2 linked regions of the Xenopus tropicalis genome follow. Each later gene encodes a partner of the first gene's protein in a complex. Links are inferred from orthologs where the notes say so. Each region holds a gene or a part of one and is shown on either strand. Other genes may lie near its edges.

Region 1 (9,522 bases):
TGAATGCAGGTATATCCTTCCTTCATAATGAATCCCATTCCTGTACCATGAAAGATAACAATATTGGAAATCACCAAGAGTACCAAGTCCACCAAGTCCATATAAAAGCAAAAGCCCCACGTGCTGTTATACACCTGAAGCTACTTCTACAGTCCCTATGTATTACAAAAGGGGGTACATTATTAAAACACATTTAAATTCCTGGATGTTGGTCACAAACCAAATAAATGCCTGCACCAACAGGGCAGTGTTAGTGTTGGTGATATTTGCTATTTTTATAGTAGTTGATGTAGTTCAGCCACTGTTTGAGATTTTGGCCTCTATTCATTTACATTTAAACTGAAGTTGTATAAGCCTTTTTAGCCAGTTAGAATATTGGCATGGGATGGGAAAGCTTTATACATTATTATATTGTATATATAGCCTTGTTATCAATTGGTTAATAAAAGGTACGGTTACACAGTGTTACACCCACCTGAGTATTTTTTTTTCAGAAGCCATTGTATTAGTTGGCTGATTTGGGCTGCAATATAATATTCCCAAATATCTGGGGCATTTAGGCCTCATATAGATCTATGCATAGTAAATATGTTTTACAGTATAGCCCCACATAATCTGTTGGCATGATTTTTGTAGTTTCTAAACACTTTTAATATCATTATAATTGGGGTTTAGGAGGAAGGAATGCATTATCTATTAATGTCCAGGAGGAGTGCACAGTGAGTAAATACATGGACACTAGAAGTGTAGGAGGGAATGGGTGGCAGCTGCTGAAACCAAAATTGCCAGCATTTGCAAATGGAGCGCATAGGGATGGCTATAGCACCTTTTTGCAATGAAATAAAGAGAAAGGACATTGGTGGAGGTCTAGAGATGGTCTCTGGAATGGATCTGCCACCGGGAGAAATCCTTTATATACAACCTTTAGATTCAGACTTAGCCTTCTACAGACAAACACCTGAAGCCTCCATATTACACCTTCAGTTCTGCCATCAAAGTCGACCAGAACTTTTCCCTACATTTGCAAACAACTGTGCACTTCTAAATTCTAAATTTAATTTTTTTATATCAGAGAGTGACCAATATAAAGATATTATTTACTGTCTAACTAAAAACAAAAGGTAGAACTACTGGGGCTAAGTTGTTAGGCACTCCAAAAGGGACACCAAAATATTATAGTGGTGCAGTATTCACAGGAGAAGTCCCCTTGTGATGGCATTTTTTCTAGAAGTGGGGCATTGGCCCAGGGTAGGAAGTTAGTAACTAGAATAACTGGAGATTCCAACTTTGTACCTCTCAATGATTCTACTGTTTGTTCAGGTGCTTATTTATATGTTTCAGTTCACCTATTCCAAGTCAATAAACAAACATTCTGCAGGGGAGCATGGGATCATTGTAGGAGTACTACAGTATGGCCCATACTGACCTATCTATACACTCACATACAGACCCATACTGACCTATCTATACACTCACATACAGACCCATACTGACCTATCTATACACTCACATACAGACCCATACTGACCTATCTATCCACTCACATACAGACCCATACTGACCTATCTATAGACTCACATACAGACCCATACTGACCTATCTATACACTCACATACAGACCCATACTGACCTATCTATACACTCACATACAGACCCATACTGACTTATCTATACACTCACATACAGACCCATACTGACCTATCTATACACTCACATACAGACCCACACTGACCTATCTATACACTCACATACAGACCCATACTGACCTATCTATACCCTCACATACAGACCCATACTGACCTATCTATACACTCACATACAGACCCATACTGTCCTATCTATACACTCACATACAGACCCATACTGACCTATCTATACACTCACATACAGACCCATACTGACCTATCTATACACTCACATACAGACCCATACTGACCTATCTATACACTCACATACAGACCCATACTGACCTATCTATACACTCACATACAGACCCATACTGACCTATCTATACACTCACATACAGACCCATACTGACCTATCTATACACTCACATACAGACCCATACTGACCTATCTATACACTCACATACAGACCCATACTGTCCTATATATACACTCACATACATAAACTATATATACCAACATCAATACTAACTGTAGATTTTAGTATCACAATAGCCTTGGATATTATGCTTATCCGAGAGCTGATTGTTTTTATGGGAAACAAGAACACCCCCTATCTGCCTATAATCCCCTTTAATGTACTTGTACAGAGTAATCATGTCCCCTAGTACTTCTCCAGAATTTGTTCATAAATCTCTGTCTGCTCTCCTCTATCATCCTATAGATTGAAAATTAGAGAATAAATGATAGAAAAAGTAATCATTTTATTGACACAGCAGTTACATGGTGTCCCTGGGCTGCAGAGGTCTCTCCTGATTGTTTTTCTATTACCAGCACCCACCTATGCAAGATGATAGATGACAGAACAAAACCAATTTCACAGGAGCAAATGATCAATAACTGTTCTGAACAGTGACCACAGGGTGGCATTATGGTACCGCAAGCTCTGTAGGAATAATACTTCTTTACTAACTTCTAGGATTAGATCAGGAATGTGTGTGTCTAAATATATTTAAGCACTTTACATTGTATCATAATATGTATAATTGTATCATAATATGACTATTTAACAAGCCTTCTGTACATTATTCCATGTACTGAGTAGGTAGAATGCAATTAAGTTACCCAATAAGCAGATATCCTTCCTAGGGTAATTGCACATGGGGTGTACTACCCACTGGCATATTTCAACTCGGGACCCAGTATTTTGGGATCCGACTGACCCCTGAATCCTTTGTGAAAGATTTGGGCAAATATTGAATGGAATCGGAATCCTTATTTGCATATAATAAGGCTATGGAAGGGTCAAAGAGAACCGCATTTGAAGCACACAGCTTCTGTGACAAAAAGTCAAGTGATTTTAGGGATTCGGATTTGGTTTGGCCAGGCACATGAATTCGGCTGAATCCAAATCCCAAACAAAAAACACCCATATCATATTAGCCTCTGCCTTTCCCCAAACCCCTTACAGCCAGGCCCGGATTTGTGGAGAGGCCACAAAGGCCCGGGCCTAGGGCGGCAGAAATCTGGGGGTGGCATGCCGCCCCGCCGCACAAAAATCTTTAAATGTGTGCTCCCATACGGAGCAAAGGGGACTTCTCCCCATTGCTCCGTATGCAAGTTGGCCCACGGCACATGCCCGCTTGCACCGCCCCCCCCTCCCGTTCGCGCACTACCGCTGGTCACGCACGCATGCGCACTCGGGGCGGGGGGGGGGGGGGGGCGTGCGACCGGGGGCGGCCTCTGGGCGGGCAGTTTTCAAATCCGGCCCTGCTTACAGCACTGGAACTGGCTGAAATACATAGGCAGAAAATATGCTCCATGGGCAGAAGCATTATTAATATCCCTTTTCCATAACAGATAGACAGAGCTAAAACATGCTGTGTTGAACCATCCATTTATTTGCCCAACATCAAGTGAACCATAATGGCGTATAAGTACATATTTATTCACTAATTTGCACTAGAAGGTGCAAACCCGCAGGCCAGGATCTGTGGCGAGGACACAAAGGCCTGTGCGGCCTAAATTTAGGGGTGGCATGCTGCCAAGCAACAAGTAAATTTTGCTCCCATATGGAGCACAGGGAACGAGACATGCAGAAAACTTCAGCACATCCCGTCCCCAGTGCTCTGTATGTATAGCATCAGCCTAGATGACCTATATTGGGTTTAGATATTATTATACTTACAGAATGAGGGGCCAATTTCTAAATCATATCTTTTCATGTTGGAGCCTTTGTGTACTGCTTGTAAAAAGATACTGATCTTTTTCCTATTTTGGATGCAGTAATACTGACATTTCATATAACATTCTCTATCAAGGCCATGGATAACCCAGCAGTAACGCATTGCCAATGTGTGCAACCGCAAACAGCTTCTTATAGGAGGCTGAGCAGTGCAGTGAGGCGATAGAGGACTTATGTATCTTGTCTGCTTTGTCCCAGCCGCTTCTAATCGTACTGATCCTGTGTTCGATACCCTGAGGGTAGGGGTCATTATGGCAAATAAAGAAAGAAAGAAAGGACAGGATGACAAGAAGAATGTAAGTAACCAGTATATGAGTTTAATGGAATTTTATGAATAGCAAATTAATACAAACTTAAGAGAAAATATACCCCCTTCTTGGTAAAAGCTCATTCAGTTGGGCTTATGTAGAAAAGATTAATACTGTCTGAACTTCCAGATATAAATATAAATGTATTTTTTCTATGCAAATAGACCTGATTCCACAGGTGGAAAGGAGCCCTTTAGAGGCGGGCCAAGTTGGCTGGGTGCCCTAGGCGACCCGGATGGCCACCTCACCCCCACCACTTCCCGCAAGGTGCGCAGACGCGGTGCAGGGGGGGAGCTGTTGGAGTAAGAGATCCAGGCCTAGGGGTTGGCAATGGAGCTACCTGCCTAACGCCCCCTCACTGCTGTGCCCTAGGCAGGTGCCTCTTCTGCCTGCCCCTAGTTCCGGACCTGAAGCCCATTATATCTGTTATTGCTTACAGCTAACAGTTCCCCATCCCTCTTAAGGCTAATGTCCCATGGGGAGATTAGTTGCTCGTGATAAATCTCTGCTACAATGGGCTACTAATCTTCCCGAAAAGCCTTTTTACTTGCAATAAAGGCAATCTCTGGTGAAAAGGCCTACTAACCTTTCCGTGGGACATTAGCCTAAGCTTACACATAAATAGAGATGTAGCGAACTGTTCGCTGTGCGAACATCGGGTGCAAAGTCCGCGAATATTCGCAAGTTTTGGCGTAAGTTCGCGAACGGGTCCACAAATTTTTTTTTTCAGGTTCGCTACATCCCTACACATAAAGCAACCCCACACTTGTTTCAATGTGAAGAGATAGATGCTGGGATTTGAAGTCCCTCTGGTTTAGTGGGTGGTGCACTGATTCTCTGGAAAGCAGATAAATTTTAAATGCCAAAATCTATCAATTCACAATGGAAGATGGGAAGAGTGGGGTTCCATTACATTGTGTGTCTAAGGGCTATGACAGATGGGGAGATTAGTCGGCGCGCTACAAATCTCCCTTGTCGCGGGCAACTAATCTCCCCAAAATGCCATCCCACCAGCTAGAATGTTAATCGCTGGTGGGATGGCATACGCGGTGCCGCAATTAGCCTAAGTAGTGGAAGTTGCCTTGAGAGGGTAGATTTGTCAAATTGTTTTTTTCTTAAGCAAATTCATTCACTCTTCCTACTCTCCTAGCATATTGCTGTATATTGCGTTCATCAAAGTTCCTTCATGTTCTACGGCAGGGGTGGGCGTACGTATGCATTCACGCAGCACTTCTGCATCCCCGGCTTGATCGCAGTCCACCAGAAATCCACAGGGGAACGACTGGTGGACAGCGAATGACGTATTGGCCACCCCTGTTCTAGGGACAATATTCAAGGCAATTTTACCAAAGTGAAACTTTTCAATCACCTCTCTATCAACTTTTATTTTTCTATAGAACTTGTTGTGACTGATTAAATCTGTTGTTAACCATTAAATAAGGTATAGTCCTTATACAGACCATCAGTGTTTTATATTTTAACTTATGTGTTTATGGTTAACAACAGGTATTATGCGGTAACACATCATCACATATTACACAGTGGTACAATAGTAAGTCATTAGAAGGATTAGATTAGATACCATTACCAGTTTAGAACGAAAATTTATTGTAAAATGGAGAGACTAAGTATTCTGCTTTATCTAGCCAATGCTTGAAGAGGAACCCGAGGAACTTCCACCAAAACCAGAAGAGAAACAGGAAGGAGGTGAGAGCAACACCAATTTTCAGAAGAGTCAAGGAGGGTCATTTCTCAACACTGGGAAAAATTGCCCATGGGCAGTAACCTATGGCAACCGATCAAATTGTTCTACATGCAACTGTCTGAAAAAATCCAATCATTGATTGGTTGCTATGGGTTACTGCCCATGGGCAAATTTTCCCAGTACTGATAAATGAGAACCCTTGGTGTCAGTACTTACAGTGTATTGAACTTCCAACTCTTCAAGCCTCTAACTTCCCTTCCCAGTAGCTGACGGCTCTCTGGGGATGCTAGGAGCGACAGTTTGAGAGTTGTTAGTTTGCAGATTGGCCATGACATAACGTGCCTGCTATGCTATCATCTTGATTTCTTCTTTTGATAACTTTGGCGGCCCTATCATACATCTGTTCAGCAATGATGGCAGTTAAGTAATTTAACAGTAATAGCTGTTTTCTGTAATATTATCCCGATGGGAAGGTTGGAGTTTCAATCTCACCGAAGGTCAATTTACTTTTTTCTTCTCTCATAGAACATAATGAGCACCAGTTATAAATAAGTAAATATAATTCCAGGACCAGTGTGTTATTTGTCTCTGAAAAGAAACATGAGGTATTCGAATGAACTGTGCATCGTAAGTGCAGCCTTTCATGGACTCACATGATCTCTTGTTTGATTCTAGACGTGCCTGACGGGGACAAGAAGGGTGAAAAAGGTGGACAGGATGCTAAGGTATTCATTAGAATGTTCAGTAGGCGGTACTAATAAAGCTTTACCTTATAAATGACACGTTCTTGCACCCAAGAGTTTATGTTGATGCTGTCCATAAATATAGTTTAGACTGTACAGCTACTGAAATCCCTGCCACTATATGTTATTCACTGGAGCTAATTATTTCATTTGACACTCAATACTCAAAGGAGATTGGGAAATGTGGTCACAGTGAGGTCTACCTGTAATAACCTCCTTGGAGCGTCGTTAAATATCTCTAGTATTGCTGACAGACAGGACTTACCACCCAATCTTATAAATGGATCTGTCTGGCATACCCACAGTTAGAGACAAAGTGGCCAAGTCAGGAACAGAATAGAGGAAGCAGGAGCATAATTTAAATACAAAGGTTCAGGGTAGGCAGAGTTTGTATGGGGAGCATCATCAGAATGGAAAGTCATCAAGAAATTCCAAGAAAGAGACCAACAGTGAGCAGAAAGATACTGTGTTAATGGGGTTTATAAAGCTCGCAAGGTTCAAAAATATCTAAATTTAAGCTTTTTTGGCATTTATCAATCATTTTACTGCGTATGAAACAGGGAGTAAAACGGCACTATATCCTAAAGTGGTATCACATTAAAGGGGTTGTTCATCTTTGAGTTATCTTTTAGTATAATGTACAGAGTAATATTCTGAGACAATTTGCAACTGGTCTTCATTTTTTATTATTTGTAGTTTTTTTTTTAACTATTTCAATTTTTGTTCAGCTGATCTCCAGTTTGGAGTTTCAGCAGTTACTTGTTTGCTAGGGTCCAAATTACCTTAGCAACCAAGGAGTGGTTTGAATGAGAGACTTATAAAATGTAAGAATAACAATAATTTTGTAGCCTCAGGGGGCAATAGTTTTTTGGCTGCTGGGGTCAGTGACCCCCATTTGAAAGCTTGAAAGATGCAGCAGAGGAAGGCAAATAATTAAAAAACTATAACAAAATAAATAATGAAGACCAGTTGAAAAGTTGCTTAAAATCAGACATTGTATAAGATACTAAAAGTTAACTTAAGGGTGAACAACCCCTGAAACTAGACAAGGATTACCACCAGCCCAATGAAACAACTGGAAAATTATGTAATCACCAAGTACTGAATCCAGTTTTTCTGGATGTGGCCAAATACCGAATCTACCACAAAAGTTCTAGATAAATACAATACAGAATCTATACCCTACGTTGCATATACAAACATTGTATCCAAAACAAATGCACAATTCAGTAATTCTGTTAGCATTTTGCTAAATACAAATCCTAGATTCAGTGTATCTTCGGTCATTACGTCAGTGGGACAGGCACACAGACAGCCCCTTATAACAACTGCTTTGTCACATACATATAGTATATATAGTGGCTGTGATCCTAGACAACCCCCAAAATTGTACTCCCCTGTAAATCTGAGCATCCTTTGGCACACAGCAGTATAAAGTATAACTTAGTAGTGGTCCCATTCATTTTTATGCCATTTAGTAACAAGGAGAAGATATATAACTTTGCGCACATGGACTAAACCATCTAATCCATCTTACCTTTTCAAAGTGTATTGTACATTTTAATTGTAATTGTCCAAGTGCTTGGAGTGCAGAACGCAGTAAATATTGCATTGTGTATAGATATCCTATTCTGTTGCCTGTCGGATAGTGCCAGGAATATTTAGCTGATTTGTTTTCTTCTTGAGCTGCTGGATTTTGTTCTCAGCATCAGAGAATGTTTCATTGTGTGGCTGATAACTCTGCGAAAAAATTTAAGATTTACGTTTTTTAGACAGCAGGTTCCCTCTTTAGTTCATGTTCCTTTAAAACCAAAATATTGTAAAATTCTTGCAGGCAGAAATGGTTCCCTTAGTTTGCTAAACATGAAAAACAAACAAAAACATAAACGCTGTCGCCATTGTTATTATCTATTGGTATATCCAGATATTGATGGTATTTATTTATGTGGACTGATAAATCTTACAAACACATCATTTTTACTGTGCTTTACATGTGGAAGATAAACTATTCTAAGGGTCATTTACTCCGACCCTGGACACAAGGCCTAGAGCACTAAGGGGTGCAAATGTGCACCACGTCAACTACTGACACACTGATTCTTGGTCTGCAGATAAATGAAGGCAAGGAAGCAACCCCTACACTTGCCTCAGCCTTTCCCTGTGCCTACACTTTTTCAGAAATGAATTCATTTTTTGCGCAGCTTTACCTTTCTGCTTCTTTCCATTTGTGGTTATAGAATAAGAAGGCGCAGCCTGGGTTCATGCAGTCCCATTATTTTGTCGCTTTGTATCGCTTCAAAGCCCTGGAGAAGGATGATCTAGATTTTCAGTGAGTATAGCCTTGCTGGCTAGTATAGTCTCATACAGCTATTCTCTAATTTGTGCCCCATGTGAGAGTCATAAACAGAAAGTGCCTTGCTATTTATGTAGTTCCTCAAAGGGTAAAAATGATGCTCAGGGAACTTTGTAAGCACTTTTCCAATTGACCTTGATCATTTTTTTTAAGTTTTAGAGCTGTTAAGCTATTTATTGGTAATATAATGTGCTACCTGCTGGTCAGTTGCTCTGACTGTATGGTGGTAAAGATATATGTTCAGAAGGAAAACAGAAAACTGTTCTAATGTTGCTTTGTGTAGGAAAGAAGCACAAACCTCAGATAACTTTGCAGATTGACCCAGTTTCAGCAAATTAGCCCAAGTGTTTGGAGGGAGTATAGGCTTCTATAGGTATGGGATCCATTATTCAGAAACCTGTTATCTAGAAAGTTCCAAATTATTGGTTAGCCATCTCCCATAGACTCCATTTTAAGCAAATAATTCATATTTAAAAATAAAATCCTTTTTCTTATAATCCTAAATTATAACCTAATCCCAACTAAAATATAATTAATCCTTAT
Region 2 (10,186 bases), on another chromosome or scaffold:
GTACATATTTACGTACATACATACCTATTTACATACATACCTATTTCCGTACATACATACCTATTTACATACATACCTATTTACATACATACAAACCTATTTACATACATATTTACGTACATACATACCTATTCACATACAGACATACATATTTACGTACGTACATACCTATTTACATACATACATACCTATTTACATACATACATACCTATTTACATACAGACATACATATTTACGTACATACATACCTATTTACATACATACCTATTTACATACATACAAACCTATTTACATACATATTTACGTACATACATACCTATTTACATACATACCTATTTACGTACATACATACCTATTTACATACATACCTATTTACATACATACAAACCTATTTACATACATATTTACATACATACCTATTTACATACATACCTATTTACATACAGACATACATATTTACGTACGTACATACCTATTTACATACAGACATACATATTTACATACGTACATACCTATTTACATACATACAAACCTATTTACATACATACCTATTTACATACATACCTATTTACATACAGACATACATATTTACGTACATACCTATTTACATACAGATAAACCTATTTACATACGTACCTATTTACATACATACCTATTTACATACAGACATACATATTTACGTACATACATACCTATTTACATACATACAAACCTATTTACATACATATTTACGTACATACATACCTATTTACATACATACCTATTTACGTACATACATACCTATTTGCATACATACCTATTTACATACATACAAACCTATTTACATACATATTTACATACATACCTATTTACATACATACCTATTTACATACAGACATACATATTTACGTACGTACATACCTATTTACATACAGACATACATATTTACATACGTACATACCTATTTACATACATACAAACCTATTTACATACATACCTATTTACATACATACCTATTTACATACAGACATACATATTTACGTACATACCTATTTACATACAGATAAACCTATTTACATACGTACATATTTACATACATACCTATTTACATACAGACATACATATTTACGTACATACCTATTTACATACAGATAAACCTATTTACATACGTACATATTTACATACATACATATTTACATACGTACATACCTATTTACATACATACAAACCTATTTACATACATACCTATTTACATACATACCTATTTACATACAGACATACATATTTACGTACGTACATACCTATTTACATACAGACATACATATTTACATACGTACATACCTATTTACATACATACAAACCTATTTACATACATACCTATTTACATACATACCTATTTACATACAGACATACATATTTACGTACATACCTATTTACATACAGATAAACCTATTTACATACGTACATATTTACATACATACCTATTTACATACATACAAACCTATTTACATACATATTTATGTACATACATACTTATTTACATACATACCTATTTACATACATACCTATTTACATACCTATTTACATACCTATTTACATACATACCTATTTACATACATATTTATGTGCATACATACCTATTTACATACATACCTATTTACATACATATTTATGTACATACATACCTATTTACATACATACAAACCTATTTACATACATATTTATGTACATACATACCTAGTTACATACATACCTATTTACGTACAAACATACCTATTTACATACAGACATACATATTTACGTACGTACATACCTATTAACATACATACAAACCTATTTACATACATACCTATTTACATACAGACATACATATTTACGTACGTACATACCTATTTACATACATACAAACCTATTTACATACATACAAACCTATTTACATACATATTTACGTACATACATACCTATTTACATACATATTTACGTACATACATACCTATTTACATACAAACCTATTTACATACATACATACATACATATTTACATACATACCTATTTACATACATATTTACATACATACCTATTTACATACATACATATTTACATACATACCTATTTACATACATACCTATTTACATACATACCTATTTACATACATACCTATTTACATACATACATATTTACATACATACATACATATTTACATACATACCTATTTACATACATACCTATTTACATACATACATATTTACATACATACCTATTTACATACATACATATTTACATACATACCTATTTACATACATACATATTTACATACATACCTATTTACATACATACATACCTACATACATAGAGAAAGAAAGTTTGCCAGCGCTTAGTTTGCCTTTAAAAATAATTTTTACAAAAAATGAGGTGTTAGTACCACACTTTGGCCAAAATATGTAAGCTCACGTGCCGCGTCAAGGCCCCTCATTATACGCGAGTCCTACACTGTCTAATGACTTTGAGTCTGTGATGCAATTAAAATAAAGTCCCCCAGGAAACAATGTGAGTGAGTAGTGAGACCTATTGCACCTTTAGCTCAAACCCCAGCTCAGTAGCACTCACATGGAAGTGATTCATTGGTTTAAAGGCTACATAGCAGCTAGAAGCAATATTTGGCTACAATTTGTACACAAATTATACCTACATACATACCTATTTACCTACATACATACCTATTTACCTACATACATACCTATTTACCTACATACATACCTATTTACCTACATACATACCTATTTACATACATACATACCTATTTACCTACATACATACCTATTTACCTACATACATACCTATTTACATACATACCTATTTACATACATACCTATTTACATACATACATACATACCTATTTACATACATACATACCTATTTACCTACATACATACCTATTTACATACATACATACCTATTTACATACATACCTATTTACATACATACATACCTATTTACATACATACCTATTTACCTACATACATACCTATTTACATACATACATACCTATTTACCTACATACATACCTATTTACATACATACATACCTATTTACATACATACATACCTATTTACATACATACATACCTATTTACCTACATACATACCTATTTACCTACATACATACCTATTTACATACATACATACCTATTTACCTACATACATACCTATTTACATACATACCTATTTACATACATACCTATTTACATACATACATACCTATTTACATACATACATACCTATTTACCTACATACATACCTATTTACATACATACCTATTTACATACATACCTATTTACATACATACATACCTATTTACATACATACATACCTATTTACATACATACTTACCTATTTACATACATACCTATTTACATACATACCTATTTACATACATACATACCTATTTACATACATACTTTATGTATTTCCCTCTGCCCAGTGATCACTAACAACCCCCCATAGGGGTAGGAAATATGGGGTAGAGGGCAGGGAGAAGTTTAGGGGGTCCCTTGCTCTGCCTCTTACCCCCAGTGACCAGATACTGGGGAGGGGCATCACCTGAATCACCACACATGGGGCCACTGGGTGGGGGCAGACCCATGAGTGTGGGGGGGCTGCAGACAGAGGTGGCCCCTCCTATAATCCATGGGCCCTACTCCCCCCGCACCAGTGATAGATGGTCCTGCCTTGGTATACTGAGCCTCATAGGCCAGCGGATTGCCATATGGTCCTACCCAGTGAGTGCCCTGAGGTCCTACCCAGTGAGTGCCCAACGGTCCTACCCAGTGAGTGCCCAACGGTCCTACCCAGTGAGTGCCCTGAGGTCCTACCCAGTGAGCGCCCTGAGGTCCTACCCAGTGAGCGCCCTGAGGTCCTACCCAGTGAGCGCCCTGAGGTCCTACCCAGTGAGCGCCCTGAGGTCCTACCCAGTGAGTGCCCTGAGGTCCTACCCAGTGAGTGCCCTGAGGTCCTACCCAGTGAGTGCCCTGAGGTCCTACCCAGTGAGCGCCCAGAGGTCCTACCCAGTGAGCGCCCTGAGGTCCTACCAGTGAGTGCCTAACGGTCCTACCCAGTGAGCGCCCAGAGGTCCTACCCAGTGAGCGCCCTGAGGTCCTACCAGTGAGTGCCTAACGGTCCTACCCAGTGAGCGCCCTGAGGTCCTACCCAGTGAGCGCCCTGAGGTCCTACCCAGTGAGCGCCCTGAGGTCCTACCCAGTGAGCGCCCTGAGGTCCTACCCAGTGAGCGCCCTGAGGTCCTACCCAGTGAGCGCCCAATCGTCCTACCCAGTGAGCGCCCTGAGGTCCTACCCAGTGAGCGCCCTGAGGTCCTACCCAGTGAGCGCCCTGAGGTCCTACCCAGTGAGCGCCCTGAGGTCCTACCCAGTGAGCGCCCTGAGGTCCTACCCAGTGAGCGCCCTGAGGTCCTACCCAGTGAGCGCCCTGAGGTCCTACCCAGTGAGCGCCCAATCGTCCTACCAGTGAGCGCCCTGAGGTCCTACCCAGTGAGCGCCCTGAGGTCCTACCCAGTGAGCGCCCTGAGGTCCTACCCAGTGAGCGCCCTGAGGTCCTTCCCAGTGAGCGCCCTGAGGTCCTACCCAGTGAGCGCCCAATGGTCCTACCCAGTGAGCGCCCAATGGTCCTACCCAGTGAGCGCCCTGAGGTCCTACCCAGTGAGCGCCCTGAGGTCCTACCCAGTGAGCGCCCAATGGACCTACCCAGTGAGCGCCCTGAGGTCCTACCCAGTGAGCGCCCTGAGGTCCTACCCAGTGAGCGCCCTGAGGTCCTACCCAGTGAGCGCCCTGAGGTCCTACCCAGTGAGCGCCCAAGGGTCCTACCCAGTGAGCGCCCTGAGGTCCTACCCAGTGAGCGCCCAACGGACCTACCCAGTGAGCGCCCAAGGGTCCTACCCAGTGAGCGCCCAAGGGTCCTACCCAGTGAGCGCCCAAGGGTCCTACCCAGTGAGCGCCCAAGGGTCCTACCCAGTGAGTGCCCAAGGGTCCTACCCAGTGTGCCCGGCTGAGGTCCTACCCAGTGAGCGCCCTGAGGTCCTACCCAGTGAGCGCCCAAGGGACCTACCCAGTGAGTGCCCAACGGCAATAAGGAACCAATATCAATTGTTCATTAAGTAGGGCCCCCCCGGCCCCCACACTCCAGCCCCCCTATGTGGAACAGTTACAGGTTGGCCCCCAGATGAAATGGGAACCCTGGAATCAGAATTTGGGGGGCAAGTTGGGGAAAGAATCTTTGTTGCCTGGTTACCCTGACTTACTTACCCCCAGGAAGGCTCAGGGGGCCACATCCCTTGATCATAGTCTCCTGATCACTCATGAAAATCTTCTTCTTACACAGCCTCCATAGGCCAAAGTGGGCCACCTCGCAGGACTGGGTGTCGTCGTCCAGTTTGGGGCTCAGTACGGCCCAGTGGTCGCTCATTACGGCCGCCAACATGAGCGAGATGCCCACCAGGGCGATACAGGACGTGACCCGGATCTTCAGCACCTTCAGCTCCTTCATGGCTACTGGCTGGGGCCCTTGGCTAGTGAGCGCTCAGTCTACTCCCTCTGCTCTGTGGCTCCTTGTGCTACTGGGGCCGACACTGGGGGAGACTGGGATGGGCCGGGCCCGGGAGCAGCTGTTGGGATCAGTCACCAACTGGGCACAGACATGGGTGGGGGGGCGGGGGGGGCTTATTAATACACGGAGCGGGGGGGGGGTGCCACCTTCACTCCAAGTGTCGCAACTTCCCCCGTCCCTCCTGTCACTCTGATAGTTGCACAACCCCCTGCTATTGATCAACTGCCCCGTCCTACCCCAACTGCCCCATACTGCCCCTGATCCTACCCCAACTGCCCCATACTGCCCCTGCTCCTACCCCAACTGCCCCATACTGCCCCTGCTCCTACCCCAACTGCCCCATCCTGCCCCATACTGCCCCTGCTCCTACCCCAACTGCCCCATACTGCCCCTGCTCCTACCCCAACTGCCCCATACTGCCCCTGCTCCTACCCCAACTGCCCCGTCCTACCCAACTGCCCCATACTGCCCCTGCTCCTACCCCAACTGCCCCATACTGCCCCTGCTCCTACCCCAACTGCCCCATACTGCCCCTGCTCCTACCCAACTGTCCCATGCTGCCCCTGCCTCCTACCCCAACTGCCACATACTGCCCCTGCTCCTACCCAACTGCCCCCATACTGCCCCTGCTCCTACCCCAACTGCCACATACTGCCCTGCTCCTACCCCAACTGTCCCATGCTGCCCCTGCTCCTACCCCAACTGTCCCATACTGCCCCTGCTCCTACCCCAACTGCCCATACTGCCCCTGCTATTGATCAACTGCCCCGTCCTAGCCCAACTGCCCCATACTGCCCCTGCTCCTAGCCCAACTGCCCCGTCCTGCCCTACTATTGATCAACTGCCCATCCTACCCAACTGCCCATACCCCCCCCCCAACTGCTCCATACTGCCCCTGCTCCTACCCCAACTGTCCCATACTGCCCCTGCCCCTACCCCTGCTCCTACCCCAACTGTCCCATACTGCCCCTGCTCCTACCCCAACTGTCCCATACTGCCCCTGCTCCTACCCCAACTGTCCCATACTGCCCCTGCTCCTACCCCAACTGTCCCATACTGCCCCTGCTCCTACCCCAACTGTCCCATACTGCCCCTGCTCCTACCCCAACTGTCCCATACTGCCCCTGCTCCTACCCCAACTGTCCCATACTGCCCCTGCTCCTACCCCAACTGTCCCATACTGCCCCTGCTTCTACCCCAACTGCCCCATACTGCCCCTAGCCCAACTGCCCTGTCCTGCCCCTACTATTGATCAACTGCCCCGTCCTACCCCAACTGCCCCATACTGCCCCTGCTCCTAGCCCAACTGCCCCGTCCTGCCCCTACTATTGATCAACTGCCCCATCCTACCCCAACTGCCCCATACTGCCCCTGCTCCTACCCCAACTGCCCCATAATGCCCCTGCTCCTACCCCAACTGCCCCATACTGCCCCTGTACTAGCCTTTGCTCCTTTCAGCCTCTTGCACCAAGTCACTATCAACCCCCTCATTGCTTTATGCAGGATTGGGGGGGGGGGGGGCACAGTACCATGTAAAGTGACACCATGCAGTTTATTAAAGGGGAACTCTGCACTCCCCAATATCCACTTAATGTTCCTTAATGTTTTGGGGCCCAGATTAGGCCAATCGGATGCGGTAGTTCTGAGTGTAGAAGATGTGATTGGCCGGGGGGCAGCGGGATGGGCCAGTAACAATAGGCCTCTCAGTGGTCGAGGTGTTAATGTGAGTAAATCCCCCCCCCCCCCCCATCAGCCCTGGGACTTAGTTTCTCCCGCTGGCCCAGTCGGGGGTTAAGGGGGGAACTGAAGTTGGAGTGAAACGTGGGCCAATGTGCTTCCCTGGGCAAAGGCTGGGCCCCATTTCAGCAAAAGGAATGAACACTTTGGGTTTACTTGTCCTTTAAACAGCAGAAAGGAATCTGCGACTGATGCGATGGGACAAGTGAAGCGAATCCATTGCGACTCCTGAGCTACAGCACCCACAGTTAGGGAATCCGACTCCCAGGAACATCTGACTCACCCCAAAACCCCCCAGTCCCTGACTCGCCCCAAAACCCCCCAGTCCCTGACTCACCCCAAAACCCCCCAATCCCTGACTCACCCCAAAACCCCCCAGTCCCTGACTCACCCCAAAACCCCCCAGTCCCTGACTCACCCCAAAACCCCCCAGTCCCTGACTCACCCCAAAACCCCCCAGTCCCTGACTCACCCCAAAACCCCCCAGTCCCTGACTCACCCCAAAACCCCCCAGTCCCTGACTCACCCCAAAACCCCCAATCCCTGACTCACCCCAAAACCCCCCAGTCCCTGACTCGCCCCAAAACCCCCCAGTCCCTGACTCACCCCAAAACCCCCCAGTCCCTGACTCACCCCAAAACCCCCCAGTCCCTGACTCACCCCAAAACCCCCCAATCCCTGACTCACCCCAAAACCCCCCAGTCCCTGACTCACCCCAAAACCCCCCAGTCCCTGACTCACCCCAAAACCCCCAATCCCTGACTCACCCCAAAACCCCCCAGTCCCTGACTCACCCCAAAACCCCCCAATCCCTGACTCACCCCAAAACCCCCCAGTCCCTGACTCACCCCAAAACCCCCCAGTCCCTGACTCACCCCAAAACCCCCCAATCCCTGACTCACCCCAAAACCCCCCAGTCCCTGACTCACCCCAAAACCCCCCAATCCCTGACTCACCCCAAAAACCCCCAGTCCCTGACTCACCCCAAAAACCCCCAGTCCCTGACTCACCCCAAAACCCCCCAGTCCCTGACTCACCCCAAAACCCCCCAGTCCCTGACTCACCCCAAAACCCCCCAGTCCCTGACTCACCCCAAAACCCCCCAGTCCCTGACTCACCCCAAAACCCCCCAGTCCCTGACTCACCCCCCACCCTCTCGTCTGACAGCTGAGGGATTGCGCCCTATGATTGGCCACTTACAGAAGCTGGAGGGTCAGGTGATGCCCAGATTTACAGGCAGTGGCGCTGTTGTGCTGTAGCCCTATGGGAAATACAGGATGTTGGCTGCTAGTGGTGAGACCTGGTACTGCAACCGATAATTTCCCTTATATTTCCTGCACCCCTAGACACAGCGGGGGGCCCCTGCGTAGTACAATCAGCTACAAGAGAAGCACATTTGCCTTTTACCTGCCATTGAGCTCAAGCAGGGGGGCCCCACTGGGGAGAAGGAAGAACAACAAGGGATAATGTACCCCCTACTGTAAATGATAAGGATATTAGCAGTCACTGAGGGGTTCTGTGCCCATATAAAGGCACAAGGCTGCAGGCTGAGTTATACAGGGAACTCTGAGTATCACTCATGTATTATAAGGGATAATGTACCCCCTACTGTAAATGATAAGGATATTAGCAGTCACTGAGGGGTTCTGTGCCCCCCATATAAAGGCACAAGGCTGCAGGCTGAGTTATACAGGGAACTCTGAGTATCACTCATGTATTATAAGGGATAATGTACCCCCTACTGTAAATGATAAGGATATTAGCAGTCACTGAGGGGTTCTGTGCCCCCATATAAAGGCACAAGGCTGCAGGCTGAGTTATACAGGGAACTCTGAGTATCACTCATGTATTATAAGGGATAATGTACCCCCTACTGTAAATGATAAGGATATTAGCAGTCACTGAGGGGTTCTGTGCCCATATAAAGGCACAAGGCTGCAGGCTGAGTTATACAGGGAACTCTGAGTATCACTCATGTATTATAAGGGATAATGTACCCCCTACTGTAAATGATAAGGATATTAGCAGTCACTGAGGGGCTCTGTGCCCCCCATATAAAGGCACAAGGCTGCAGGCTGAGTTATACAGGGAACTCTGAGTATCACTCATGTATTATAAGGGATACTGTACCCCCTACTGTAAATGATAAGGATATTAGCAGTCACTGAGGGGTTCTGTGCCCCCCATATAAAGGCACAAGGCTGCAGGCTGAGTTATACAGGGAACTCTGAGTATCACTCATGTATTATAAGGGATACTGTACCCCCTACTGTAAATGATAAGGATATTAGCAGTCACTGAGGGGTTCTGTGCCCCCCATATAAAGGCACAAGGCTGCAGGCTGAGTTATACAGGGAACTCTGAGTATCACTCATGTATTATAAGGGATAATGTACCCCCTACTGTAAATGATAAGGATATTAGCAGTCACTGAGGGGTTCTGTGCCCCCCATATAAAGGCACAAGGCTGCAGGCTGAGTTATACAGGGAACTCTGAGTATCACTCATGTATTATAAGGGATACTGTACCCCCTACTGTAAATGATAAGGATATTAGCAGTTACTGAGGGGTAACATATAATAAGTAGCTTTTACCCCGGCCTTTTTACTTTTTTTTTAATAGAATGGATATTCTGACACGCTGAGAGCACTGTTAATGGTTTAAAATGATTTGGACACTGAAGGTGAACAGGCCCATTTCCTCAGCTTAACTCCAATTGGCTGCATCTCCTGTCAATCTGCCTCTGATCCCGCCCCTGCTGCAGCATGTCCTGTGAGGGAGGTTAGTGTACCTACACACAGGTAGGGGGAGGGGCCAGTGTGTGAGGGAAAAGCTATGGCTTTTTGGGCCCTGC

Evidence for each region. The genes of interacting proteins can lie anywhere in the genome.
Region 2: stac3 (region 1) and cacng1 share a complex: the UniProt entries of both Homo sapiens proteins name them as parts of the calcium channel complex. The link is inferred for Xenopus tropicalis from reciprocal best matches to the Homo sapiens genes STAC3 and CACNG1.

Annotation. Positions count from the first base shown.
Region 1 is NC_030678.2:140,049,274-140,058,795, reverse strand, and holds part of stac3 (SH3 and cysteine-rich domain-containing protein 3), read left to right. Parts: intron 1-4,068; coding exon 4,069-4,166; intron 4,167-5,824; coding exon 5,825-5,885; intron 5,886-6,558; coding exon 6,559-6,608; intron 6,609-8,863; coding exon 8,864-8,955; intron 8,956-9,522. UniProt on the Homo sapiens protein: Required for normal excitation-contraction coupling in skeletal muscle and for normal muscle contraction in response to membrane depolarization. Required for normal Ca(2+) release from the sarcplasmic reticulum, which ultimately leads to muscle contraction.
Region 2 is NC_030686.2:51,093,772-51,103,957, reverse strand, and holds the start of cacng1 (voltage-dependent calcium channel gamma-1 subunit), read right to left. Parts: upstream 5,592-10,186; 5' UTR 5,535-5,591; coding exon 5,294-5,534; intron 1-5,293. UniProt on the Homo sapiens protein: Regulatory subunit of the voltage-gated calcium channel that gives rise to L-type calcium currents in skeletal muscle. Regulates channel inactivation kinetics.